2 linked regions of the Saccharomyces cerevisiae S288C genome follow. The protein of the gene in region 1 purifies or fractionates together with the protein of each later gene. This does not show direct contact. Each region holds a gene or a part of one and is shown in the gene's direction. Other genes may lie near its edges. The genes, in order: LYS14 and IRC20.

Region 1 (5,129 bases):
TCTTCCGATAAAAACATTTAAACTATTAACTAACAAATGGATTCATTAGATCTATTACATTATGGGTGGTATGTTGGAATAAAAATCAACTATCATCTACTAACTAGTATTTACGTTACTAGTATATTATCATATACGGTGTTAGAAGATGACGCAAATGATGAGAAATAGTCATCTAAATTAGTGGAAGCTGAAACGCAAGGATTGATAATGTAATAGGATCAATGAATATTAACATATAAAATGATGATAATAATATTTATAGAATTGTGTAGAATTGCAGATTCCCTTTTATGGATTCCTAAATCCTCGAGGAGAACTTCTAGTATATCTACATACCTAATATTATTGCCTTATTAAAAATGGAATCCCAACAATTATCTCAAAATCCACATTCTCAACATTTCTTGTGCATCATATAATCTTAGGAAGAAGGACACTATTATATAAATATCGTCTATTAAGTACTATTCGTGTTACTGGTATATTATTATATATGGTTGTTAGAATAAAAATCCACTATCGTCTATCAACTAATAGTTATACTATCAATATATTATCATATACGGTGTTAAGATGATGACATAAGTTATGAGAAGCTGTCATCGAAGTTAGAGGAAGCTGAAGTGCAAGGATTGATAATGTAATAGGATAATGAAACATATAAAACGGAATGAGGAATAATCTTAATATTGGTATATAGAAATATAGATTCCATTATGGGGATTCCTAGACCCTCGAGGAGAACTTCTAGTATACCCTATATACCTAATATTATAGCCTTTATCAAAAATGGAATCCCAACAATTATCTCAACATTCACCCATTTCTCAATGGTGTAAGAAGAGCACATAAAGATTGAGAAACTGCCATCAAATCTAATGGAATCTGAATGCAGTGATTGATAATATGATAGGTTAATGACTGACAACACATAAAATGAAAAGAAAAATAACAATATTACTTGAAATGTTTGAAATGTCAATTCCCTTGTGCAGATTCCTATATCCCTGAGGAGGTGTTCTAGTAAACTCTGTATACCCAATGCTATAGTCTTTTACCAACATTGAAACTCAAGAATTACCTCAATATTTACCTACTCCTGAAAAGGAAAAGAAGAAAAAAATTATAATATTATTTATGGTTATTATCAACATTTTGAAGTAGCCTTCTAAAATCTGAGGATAATTTCTAGCATATGTCACTAATGTATGTCATTACCCGTTACTCAAAAGCATGATAAAAAAAATCACCATAATATACGCTTGGCTTTTACTCCTTGCTAAATAAATTACACAATGCTCAAAAATGTTCTTTATTCTAAAGGATTCATTGAAACAGGCAACCATTCAGAAATCATCGATAGTATTAAGCGCATAAACATTTAGAATATACATCCCTAATTTTGAAATTTAAATCAGATATTGTCTAAACATGTGCTCTGACTCGCTATATTATGCAGAATGTACAATCTCGTCTAAGCATATGTCACCATCTTCTTTTCCTGCAAGCCAGACACATTCTCTCTTTTTCAAGAAATTGTTGTCTACAATAACGTATTACGAAATTAGGCGACTGCTGGTATAGATCACAGAGACAGGGCCTCACTTATTTGATAACACAAGGAAACGATGACCAAACAGCGTTACAGCACGGTATGAATAAAACGACACCTTCTTAGCCGTGAATTCCGCGCTTCAAGTTGCACATCATTGCCTACGAGGACGCGACGTGACTCAATTGGAAGAAATGACAGTGGAAAAATTTCCTCAGGAATTTCAAAATCATAACCATAGGCCGATTAGAATGCTTATTGTTCTGCATCACTTCAGTCTAGGCGAATAAGAAAAGCCCAGCAGAGGTCATCACGTAGCTACAGGAATTGCTGTGAACGTTGCTAGATAAATTTTCCTTTTTAGTCCTTATCTCCCTGTTTCTTCCTTCTCTCATCATTTTGGTATAAGATCTGTTTTCTGGCAATAATGTTCGAATCTGTCAATTTGGATGAAAATTCTCCAGAGGATAGAGAACTGGCTAAGGTTTTGTCCCCACCGGGTAGTTATCTTTCTCCAGCTTCACTAGACAGTGGTTCATCGTTCACAAATAGTGGGACTTCAACTAGTTGCTTTGAACCAAAAAACAATCTACCCTCCTTATCGTTTTTAAATGCTAGAGCGGGATCTTTAGGTGGCATTTTTAATCATAAACAGATGACCTCGCCGTCAAATTCGAATATAGGAGGCGAAAATGTAGAATCGACCACAAGTAGTAATGACGGCAGTAATGAAAATGCAGGTCATCCCACTACTTCAGAGCAAGATCAAAATGCAGATCACCCCACTATTTCACAGGCAGATGATAATGGACACTCATCGTTGACCCCTAATCCTGCTGTAACTTCAACTGTTACGGATAAGAAGGGAAATACAGTAAAACGGAAGTACTCCAGAAATGGGTGCTCCGAGTGTAAGAGACGAAGAATGAAATGTGATGAAACTAAACCGACTTGTTGGCAGTGCGCAAGATTGAATCGTCAGTGCGTTTACGTTTTAAACCCAAAAAATAAGAAAAGAAGAACCTCAAATGCTCAAAGAGTAAAAGAATTTAGGAAGCACAGTACTAGCCTCGATAATGATCATAATAATGCTCGCAAGCGTCAGCATTCGTCATGCAAGGCTGAGAAGAAGAAAAAAGTACGACAAAATTTAAGTGAAGACACCACGGACCCTAAACCGATTACAGATAACGGCAAGAATGTACCTTTGGATGAAATAGAATCCCTAGAGATTCCAAATTTGGACCTTACCACCACAATGAATGGATATGACGTTAATTTACTAATGCAGAACTTGAATGATATGGTTAATATGAAACTTCATGACTCTTACTTATTGAATGAAGAACTGAAAGGATTAGATTTGCCCGATTTGGACATACCTGAACTTTTGCCCGCTTCGAATGTGAACAGTAGCGTACCAATATCCTTTCTGGTGAATAATGTAATAACTTTCAACACAAAACTAAGCTCGTTCAAACTAGGTGGAATCCACGATAAGTATCTAAAGATATTTTACTACGATTGCTTAGATTCTATTGCGCCCTTTTTCCAAAATCAAGGGAACCCGTTAAGAGATATCTTACTTTCATTTGCGAAAAACGAGGCCTATCTTTTATCTTCCATATTAGCTACGGGAGCATCTATAGCATATAGAAAGTCTAATAACTTGGAAGATGAACGAAACTATTGTGCTTATTTGTCACATTGCCTGAGCCTGTTGGGTGAACAATTCAAGAATGAGTCAAACGTTTTAAATAGGATAGAGCCTATCATCCTGACGGTCATCATGCTTGCATGGGATTGTATTTATTCAATGAATTCTCAATGGAGGTCTCACTTAAAAGGTGTAACTGACCTTTTTAAAAAAATCAATGCCGGGAATTCCTCCAAAGTACTTAACGTTGCAAAATGTTGGTTTAAAGTTATGGAAACATTCGCCAGTATAAGTACGGTATTTGGCGGATCTTTAATTGATAATAATGACCTTGATGCAATTTTTGATCCATATGATTACCAATATGTTGACTCGTTAAAATTTTTAAATATTATGACTCCACTAAATGAGTTTAATCTTTTAAGAGGACATAAAGAAGATTTCGATCTTGTTATTAAAGAAGTTTTCAAATCACTCAATACAATTAGGTCAACTGAAAAAAATTACTTTTCTAAAGAAGAAGGTTTGTTCACTAAGAAATTAGACTATCTGCTTTTATCATCCCAAACTTCGTCCGAAAAGTCCAAAGACCAGATATCATATTTCAATACGCAGAAAATTCTAGTGGAAATTGACAAGCAATTAGATTACGAATTTATTGACAAATCTGGAATTATACCCTCAGACAATCAGTCACACCCTAGAATTAGTAATATTCATGATAATGCCATCGATATGGTGACATTAAAGAACGGTGAAGAAGTTGCCATCAGCTGGTATGATATTTCTCATCAGACACAAGTTTTATCTTTCTTATTAATTGTATTATTAAAACTTTTAGGTATGCCAAAAGAGTCAAGTACCATTCAACAAGTGGTCAAGAAAATCATGTCTTTCTTCAAATTCTTAGACAGTGACTCGCCGCCACAAAATTCAAGGACTTGTTATAGTAATTTTGCTGTATTGATTGCAGGTTTGAATGCAATGGACGAGGAAACAAGAGCGATTGTTAAAAGATATTATAAAATCAATGGTGGAAAATTTCAAAAGCTCACAGAACATAATCTTAACAGACTGGAAAAGGTCTGGTATGGTAAAAATCAAAATTACAGGTTAGAAGAACAAGACGTTTTAACATGGTAGTTTGTCTGTTTACGTAATAATTTTGCCTGTAGATTGATATAAAATTGTGTACGGATAATTGCACTGGCACGTCAAAAGTCCGAGAACTATTTTTCTCGAGAATGCCGCGCAAAGCAGGCACCGTGCCTTTATCTTTCTTTTTTTTCCTCCAGCACTAAACCTTCCATAACAATACTATTAGAAAGGTTGTTATCAAATATTAAAATAACTATTAAAGTGATACAAATATATATATAGATGACGATGGGCATAAAAAAGCTCGTTTCTAATCATCAACTATACGTTTCTTGATCAAAATGCACTGAGCAAAATATTGTTATGAAAACATACTTGCTTGACGAAATGGATTAAATGGATCCATTAAATTAAAAAATGAGTCTAGAATTGCACTTTATGATAGAAAATAAAAATTCGACAAGAAATGGTGATAATTTAACGAACGAAAATATTGAAACGTCAGGAAAATAAAATAAAATATGATAAAAGTTGAAGATGGAGTAAAATAATCTTGTCAAATAATCAATAAAGACAGTTTTATCCATTTATAGGATTGGCTTGAAGTAGAAAATTCTTCAAAGATGATTGAAAGAAAGAAGAAAGTAGCACATAATTGACATGACGATTGGCTTATTCTTCAGACTTCTTAGACTTCTTAGATTTCTTGCTCTTCTTAGACTTCTTTTTCTTGTCCTTACTCAAGTTTGGTGTAGCAGCAGGTCTTGGACTAGCAACTGGAGCTTTTGGAGCCATCACTGCTTCGGCATCACTAGGTCC
Region 2 (7,367 bases), on another chromosome or scaffold:
CACTTTCATAGAATAATGCTCATCTTTGACAACTTCAGGGGCAGTGTAACCGACTGTACCACAAGGAGTCTTGGTGTTCTTGGAAAATATTTGTTTAGACAAACCAAAATCAGCTAGTTTTACTATACCAATTCCACCACCACCAACTCCTGGTGTGAAAATTCCCTCGTCTGCCTTTGTTTGCGGATCATCCGATTTCCTCAATTTTGGTTTTATAGAGCGTGTGAATTCAATCGGTTCAAAAAGAAGATTCTCAGGTTTTATATCACGATGCACTACACCTAGTGAATGCATATGTTTAACAGCCAGTGCTAATTGTTTGATTACATGCCTTGATAAATCTTCACTGAAATAGGTCAACCTAACAATTTCGCCGAAGATTTCCCCACCGGTTAGTAACTCTTGAATAATATAATAATAGCTATCTGTTTCTTGGAAGTCTATGAACGCGACAATTTGTGAACAACCAGCGGAAACCGTCTTATGTAGTGCAACTTCCTTCAAGACTTGATCTCTGGAAGAAGTTTTAGTGCTGTCCTTCCCTTTGTCCTTCTTACGATGATCACCATTAATCGAGGATAAATCTGCCTTTTTGATAACTTTAATGGCAACAGCTTTATAGTTTTTAGTTAAAAATTCATTAGAACTATTTTTAGCAGGTATGGCTCTAAAGACTTTTGAAAAAGCACCTTCACCGATTTTATTGATCAGCTTGTAACCTATCAATTCCTTTTGTTCGAGGAAGGATTTTTCCGGAATTTCATCTTCCATATTGTCATCATCAGTACTGTCATCCTGGATATCACTGATAATCTCGCTTTGTTCCGAAAGAGATTCGTCAGATATTAAGGGGTCGGAACTTAATTGACCTTCACTACTTTCATGGACATCGATAGCTGGCACGGAAGTAACTGTTTCCACATTTTCCGTGGTAATATTATCACTCGGTGAAGAGTCCGAGTCTATCGTGGTTACTAATTCATCGGTTAAAGACTTCATATGATGGTCATCTGCGACAACACTCGGGTACTGAACTATATTTTTGTCCTGAAAGCTTTTCTTAGGGGAAGAAGTAATCTGGGAAACATCTTTGTTATTTGTACCGCTTGACCTGGTCTTACCCTTGAATGGTTTTTTAGATTCCTGAGACAAATCTGCCTGATCCGGTTTCTTTTTCGAGAAAAGGGCCTTTATTTTAAGCATCGAAGAGATTTTGTTTGATCCTCTCTAAATAAGCAGTACTCTTAACAATACTTTCGTCTTTTCCAATCGTTAAATGTTTGTACTTCAAATAACGTATGAACTATCTGGGATTTTATTTTCTTTAATTTTTTCGATGTCACTCTTTTTTTTTCTTTGGCCGATCCGTCTTTTCTAGTAAGCGTTTGTAAAAAGTTAGATGTCAATAGGAGAGATAAAGCCCCAGAGATAGAGTTTGACTTCGTTGAAATAACTGTCGCTGATTACTATTATCTAGGATTCTTGACGAGGTTTCCTCTTAATCACTGGATTTATAATTATAACCTTAAACCTAGCCAGTAAAAAAGTTTAAAAAGAACAAAAAACAATAACAAATAAATGTCCCTTTATCCTCCTTTTTTCTCTTGATTGCTATAAAGTAAAAAGATTACTAGACTTTATGCCAACGTACTCGTGGACGACTAAAACTAACGGTGATTTTTTGGATCGTAGTGGCTCTTTTTCAGCCTTCGTACTTTCAAGAATAAAGGAAATGGCAACTACTAAAAAGAGTGCCTGCGCAACGGATGTTTTATTAGCTTGAAGATGTAGCTGAATAACTCCTGTTTTTAAGTGAGCTCGAAATGACGAACCAGTCAAAGAACAAACTTGACCGCAAATACAGGGACATCCAAGGAGTCTGGGATAGCTTCACTCCTATGAGAGCTCAAGGAATTACCTGCTCGCATCTCTGACCAAGGATAAGGCTCGTTTTTTCCTTTTTCGGAACACTCGAACTGCTACCCGTCTTTTCCAGATCTACAGCTGATGAAATGTGGCTGATGAATGTATTGATTTGCCACTTTCTAGGCGCTGTCTAAAGGAATGAACTCCAGGAAAGGCCAACTTATTCGACGGTAAATGTCTGCAGTAGGTGCGCTATTAGCAAGGGAGTACAACGTGACTGCCGAAAAATGCGACTTTTTCCTAGAAAATGGTTCTTTTGATTCAGTGATAGCAGCATTGCCAGCGCTAAATCAGGAACAAGAGACTGTAACTCAAAAAGTTAGCAAGAACGGAAAAGAATTAATCAACGTTGCCTCGGTAAATATCGAAATACCAGAGCGAATAAGTCTTTCCAACAACGGTAGGCAGTTATTTAAATTTATTGTTGATATAGAGATCTTACCTTGTGAAAATGATAACGAGGCAACACTTGTTGTGTCGTCAGATTCCGTATCCTTATTTCAAATTGGATTTAAAATGGAGAACAATTCAAAAATCGCTGTTGACAAACAACTTCCGCTGATCTTGGATATATGTGCTCATAAAAACCAAGAAAGGGCCCTACGAAATCAGTTAGAAAATCGTAAATCTTTAGAACGCAAACCATCAAGAAAGAGAAGAAAAAAAAATTCAAATGTTAACGATCCTGAAAAATTACTAAAAAGTCGTATACACGAATTATCTTTGTCCTACAAAGATTTTGAATGCTCTCCAGTCGTATTCCGATACAATGATTCCTCTTTAACATGGGTTTTATCTTTTAATTTGAAGTTGAAGTTTTTAAATAATAAATTCAACCGGTTTTCCGTGGAGGCTAACCAAATACTGGACTTGACGTTCTCTAATAGGGACGAGAACGAATTTGAGCGATATCACAAGCACAGCCATATCCATTCAAACTTCATTCAAAAACAATTTATTTCTCAAATCTTGGAATATAGTAAAGATAGGCTATCAAAGATCAAACCGTTCTTACCCCAATCTATACCAGACCTAAAAGTTAACCTCTTACCATTTCAAAGAGAGAGCGTTGAGTGGATGCTAATTAAAGAAGGGCATGGTAATTCTCTTAGTGATACACCTACAGTCATCGACGAAGTAGGGCTTATAGATTTTATGAACGAGTACTATGCATACGGTTACGAGCTCATTGCACGCAGCCCTGACGAGGTAGGGCCATCATTGTTATGGAACAAATTAACAGGATATATTCTAACTACAGAAGATGCTGCACATTTGTACAACCAATATAGGAAGGAAAGGTTAAGCGGCGACTACCCAGTTTGTGCAAAGGGGGTGTTAGCAGAAGAGATGGGGTTGGGCAAAACTATTGAAATTTTATCACTAATACTCTTAAATAGAAGGAAATTGAAGGACTCAGAGGCAACATTTATTGACGATGAAAATAGAACAATCACGAAGACAAAGACGACTTTGATTATCTGTCCCAATGCTATCTTAAAACAATGGCTCGAAGAAATCGAATTACACGCAAATTCCTTAAAATGGTATACCTATAGAGGATATAATGAGATAATGAAAGATTGCAAAACTGTGGACGAAGCTGTTCAACAATTGTGCCAATACGATATTATAGTTACATCATATAACATTATTGCCACGGAGGTCCATCATGCTGAGTTTAACCGTAGTATCAGATCGAGAAGGTTGAAAAGCCCAAAGTATGACTATTCTTCACCGTTAGCTTTGATGCAGTTTTATAGAATCATTCTGGATGAAGTTCAAATGCTACGTAGTTCATCAACATATTCTGCAAAATGCACGAGTTTACTTCATAGAATACACACTTGGGGTGTTTCCGGGACTCCAATACAGAACATTTACAACTTTAGGATGATCATGTCTTATTTAAAGCTGCATCCATTTTGTGATGAGGTAGACTTTATTCGGACACTTCAAGAAGAAATTAAACTAAGAAATGAGGCTAAAGATTACACTAGTAATGATTTTGTATGCCAATTAAAGGGCGTTCGGTTTTCTATCAAGGATTGTATGAACATTTTTTACAGGTATGATCTTTGCATAAGGCATTCGAAAGCCAATGTTGCGTCTCAGATTCATATTCCGCGGCAACACAACTTCATCATTCCCCTGGAGTTTGCGCCTATCGAGTGGGACAACTATTTAAATCTTTGGAACAATTTTTTAGAGTTGAGTGGCTATAATTCGGATGGCAGTGGATCACCCCGTGTAAGCAATGCCTTTTTAAACGAATGGTTGTCTAGGCTGCGATATATATGTTGCCATGCATTATTTCCAGAAATTTTAAGTACCCGACAGAAGCGCCTTCACGGGCACTTGTCAAGAATTTCAAATATAGACGATATCTTAATATCCATGCGAATGGATGCATTTGACAGTTTAATTGGCTATTACAGAGAGAGATTCCATTTATCGATCAAGCAGGCACAGTATGAACTTGAAATTTCCAATACTCCGGCCAAAGCCCTTGAATCATTTATCAAAATCAGAGATGATTTGATGATACACATACGCCAAAAATTCAACGTTGAGGATCCGTTTGATAAGTCGTTAAACCTCAGTGAAGATGAGGACGAACATATGGACGAGAGGTTTGGTGAGAAGGAAACATCTTCAGGCGACGAAAGCGATAGAGAAATAAATGGTGCTAAAAACCATGATAATCACAACAATGACGGAATGTTATCCAACCACCTGAAGAAGAAAGGATTACGTGCTATGATGAATTTACTGCATGATTGCTACTTCTTCCTCGGTTCTGTTTACTATAACTTGGGCACTCGTAAGCTAGAAGAGGCGGACGACAAGCATCGAAAAGAGAAGACTGAAGAAGTGGTGTATTCTGATGTTTTTCCAAAAAATGAGTTAGAGGAAATTGAAGAGAATAGACTTTTAGAACAAGAAAATTATGCGAATGCAGAAATTTTGAGGAAGTCAATCCTCTCCTCTGAGGCTAGAAAAGTTGATATGACTATTAAAATGGCCAGAACTAAGTTTGCTCCTATGACGAGCAATATACCTTTGCGATTAATCAATATTGAATTTGACCACAAAAATGACTACTCATCTAATTTAGCAGTATCTCGTTGTTTCAAGTCTTTGAGTAAGTTGATAGAAGGGTTGAATGAACAAACTAAAAACTTCAACGAGTTATTGGATGAGTTACTCATTATTATCTATGAACCTGTCCACAGGACAGAGGACGATGATAGCACTAATAAAATTATCGGTAATGAAGAATATTCAACATCGATTGACAGTCAAGATAAGATATTCAGTCTTCTTGGTTGCTTGGAGATAATTTTACAGAATAGGGACAATATTTTAACTTCAGAATCAGAAGTTAAAATTCCGAAGCATTTGGTACCGGAAGGTTCAATAATTTCAAAATATCAAAAGCAGTTATTGAACAGCTTGCGCTTGATTTCAGGAACACCTCTACGAACTGTTTTTGATGAACTGAAGAACAGCAGGATAGTAAGACGGATATCCTCAAGCAATGAAAGTGAATCTACCATTCAAAATTTTGAGGACTACTTACTTCAGTACGAAGTTGAAAGTAAAAGCCTGTTTAAGTACAATAAACAGGTAAGAGAATCTTTGAAAATCCTGGGATCGATTTATAATGCCAAGACGGAATATTATAGTCAATTACAGAGGATTTCCGATTCATTGGTGTCCTTGCACTCTTTGAGTGCTCCACAACTCAGCCATCTAATAAGAACTATCAATAAGTCATTGGGCGGTACACTAGATGCAAAAATCAATAACATTGAATCACGGCTGATATATTTAAAAAATTTGTCCAGATTGAAAGACACATTAAACGATAATCAAATATTGAGCTGCTCTATCTGTTTGGGAGAAGTTGAAATAGGTGCTATCATTAAGTGTGGACATTATTTTTGCAAGAGTTGTATCCTTACGTGGCTACGAGCCCATAGTAAATGCCCTATATGCAAAGGTTTCTGTAGTATATCGGAAGTCTATAACTTTAAGTTCAAGAACTCAACGGAGAAGAGGGAAAAAGAAATTCAAGAGCCACGAAGAGAGGGCGCCGATTCGTCTCAAGATAATTCAAATGAAAACTCGATTATATCCAATATGAGTGAAGTAGAAAAATTATTCGGAAATAAATACGAGCAATTCCATCAAATTAATGAAGTCCATCAAATTCACATAAAGGAAAGTTTTGGTGCTAAGATTGATTTCGTCATCAAGTTAATATCTTACCTGAGGCTAAAAAGTGAGCAGGAAAACGCTGATCCGCCACAAGTTATTCTATACTCTCAAAAGACAGAATATTTAAAGGTCATTGGTAAGGTATTAAAGTTGTATCACATTGAACACTTGGCATGTCTATCTAATACAGCCAATGTTGGCGAAACTATAAATAACTTCAAACGCCAGCCTTCCGTCACTTGCCTACTTTTGAATGTGAAAACTTTAGGTGCCGGCCTGAATTTGATAAATGCAAAACATATTTTCCTACTAGATCCTATCCTTAATAATAGTGATGAATTACAAGCTATGGGAAGGAATAATCGTATAGGACAAGATGAAGAAACTTTTGTGTGGAATTTCATGATCAGAAATACCGTTGAAGAAAACATCCTCAGATATAAATGTATACTCGAAGAGCGCAAAAGAAAGGAGAAGTCAAAAAAAGGCGATAAATACGACGAAGCACAAGATGAAACGGATAATGAGGAAAGCGATGATGCGAAGTTTGAGATAAGCGTGGTAGACCAAGAAGTCAGTAATGAACACTTATGGAACTGCTTTTTTCACGGTAGTGATTAGAGAAGTATGACTTTTAAACCAGACACTAATATATTAAAATATTTAATCTTTTGAATTTTTATATAAACGGTTGCCGTAATTACTATATATATATTCAATGGTAGGAAAAAAAGATGCTGCACGTTGTCTGACATCTGAAGAAGAGTGCTAATATGTAGCTTCAAAATTTTCGGAAGGCAAAAATAATGGTTGCTAAGAGATTCGAACTCTTGCATCTTACGATACCTGAGTATTCCTACAGTTAACTGCAGTCAAGATATTTTCTTGAATCAGGCGCCTTAGACCGCTCGGCCAAACAACCACTTATTTGTTGTAAAAGTTATACGAAAAGAACCTTTTAATGAATGTTTTTTTTAACATTCTAGCCAATTTCCAACGTTTATTTGCGTATACTCAACCTATACTATGGCGGAATTCACTCCTTTCAGTAACCTTTTTATATTTTACGTACTACTGTGTCGCTGAGTTCTTTATATCTATACTTCCTTATATTTTCTGTATTTTTTCAAAGCTGTGTGCTGGCGATAAATCCATAAATCTCCAATCTCCAGCTTCATGTGGCTTTCTGGCACTTACAAAGCTTGGGCCCCTTGGTT

What was found.
Region 2: the proteins of LYS14 (region 1) and IRC20 purify together in Saccharomyces cerevisiae (affinity purification with mass spectrometry, with the first as the bait; one large-scale study listed by BioGRID). This does not show direct contact.

The regions. Positions count from the first base shown.
Region 1 is NC_001136.10:508,963-514,091, reverse strand, and holds LYS14 (Lys14p), read left to right. Parts: upstream 1-1,982; coding exon 1,983-4,355; downstream 4,356-5,129. Other genes in the region: MRH1 (Mrh1p), read right to left, coding at 4,983-5,129. UniProt on the Saccharomyces cerevisiae protein: Activates the transcription of lysine biosynthesis genes. This activation is dependent on the inducer alpha-aminoadipate semialdehyde and repressed by lysine.
Region 2 is NC_001144.5:628,088-635,454, reverse strand, and holds IRC20 (E3 ubiquitin-protein ligase IRC20), read left to right. Parts: upstream 1-2,100; coding exon 2,101-6,771; downstream 6,772-7,367. Other genes in the region: serine/threonine protein kinase RCK2, read right to left, coding at 1-1,203; palmitoyltransferase ERF2, read right to left, coding at 7,258-7,367. UniProt on the Saccharomyces cerevisiae protein: Is probably involved in a pathway contributing to genomic integrity.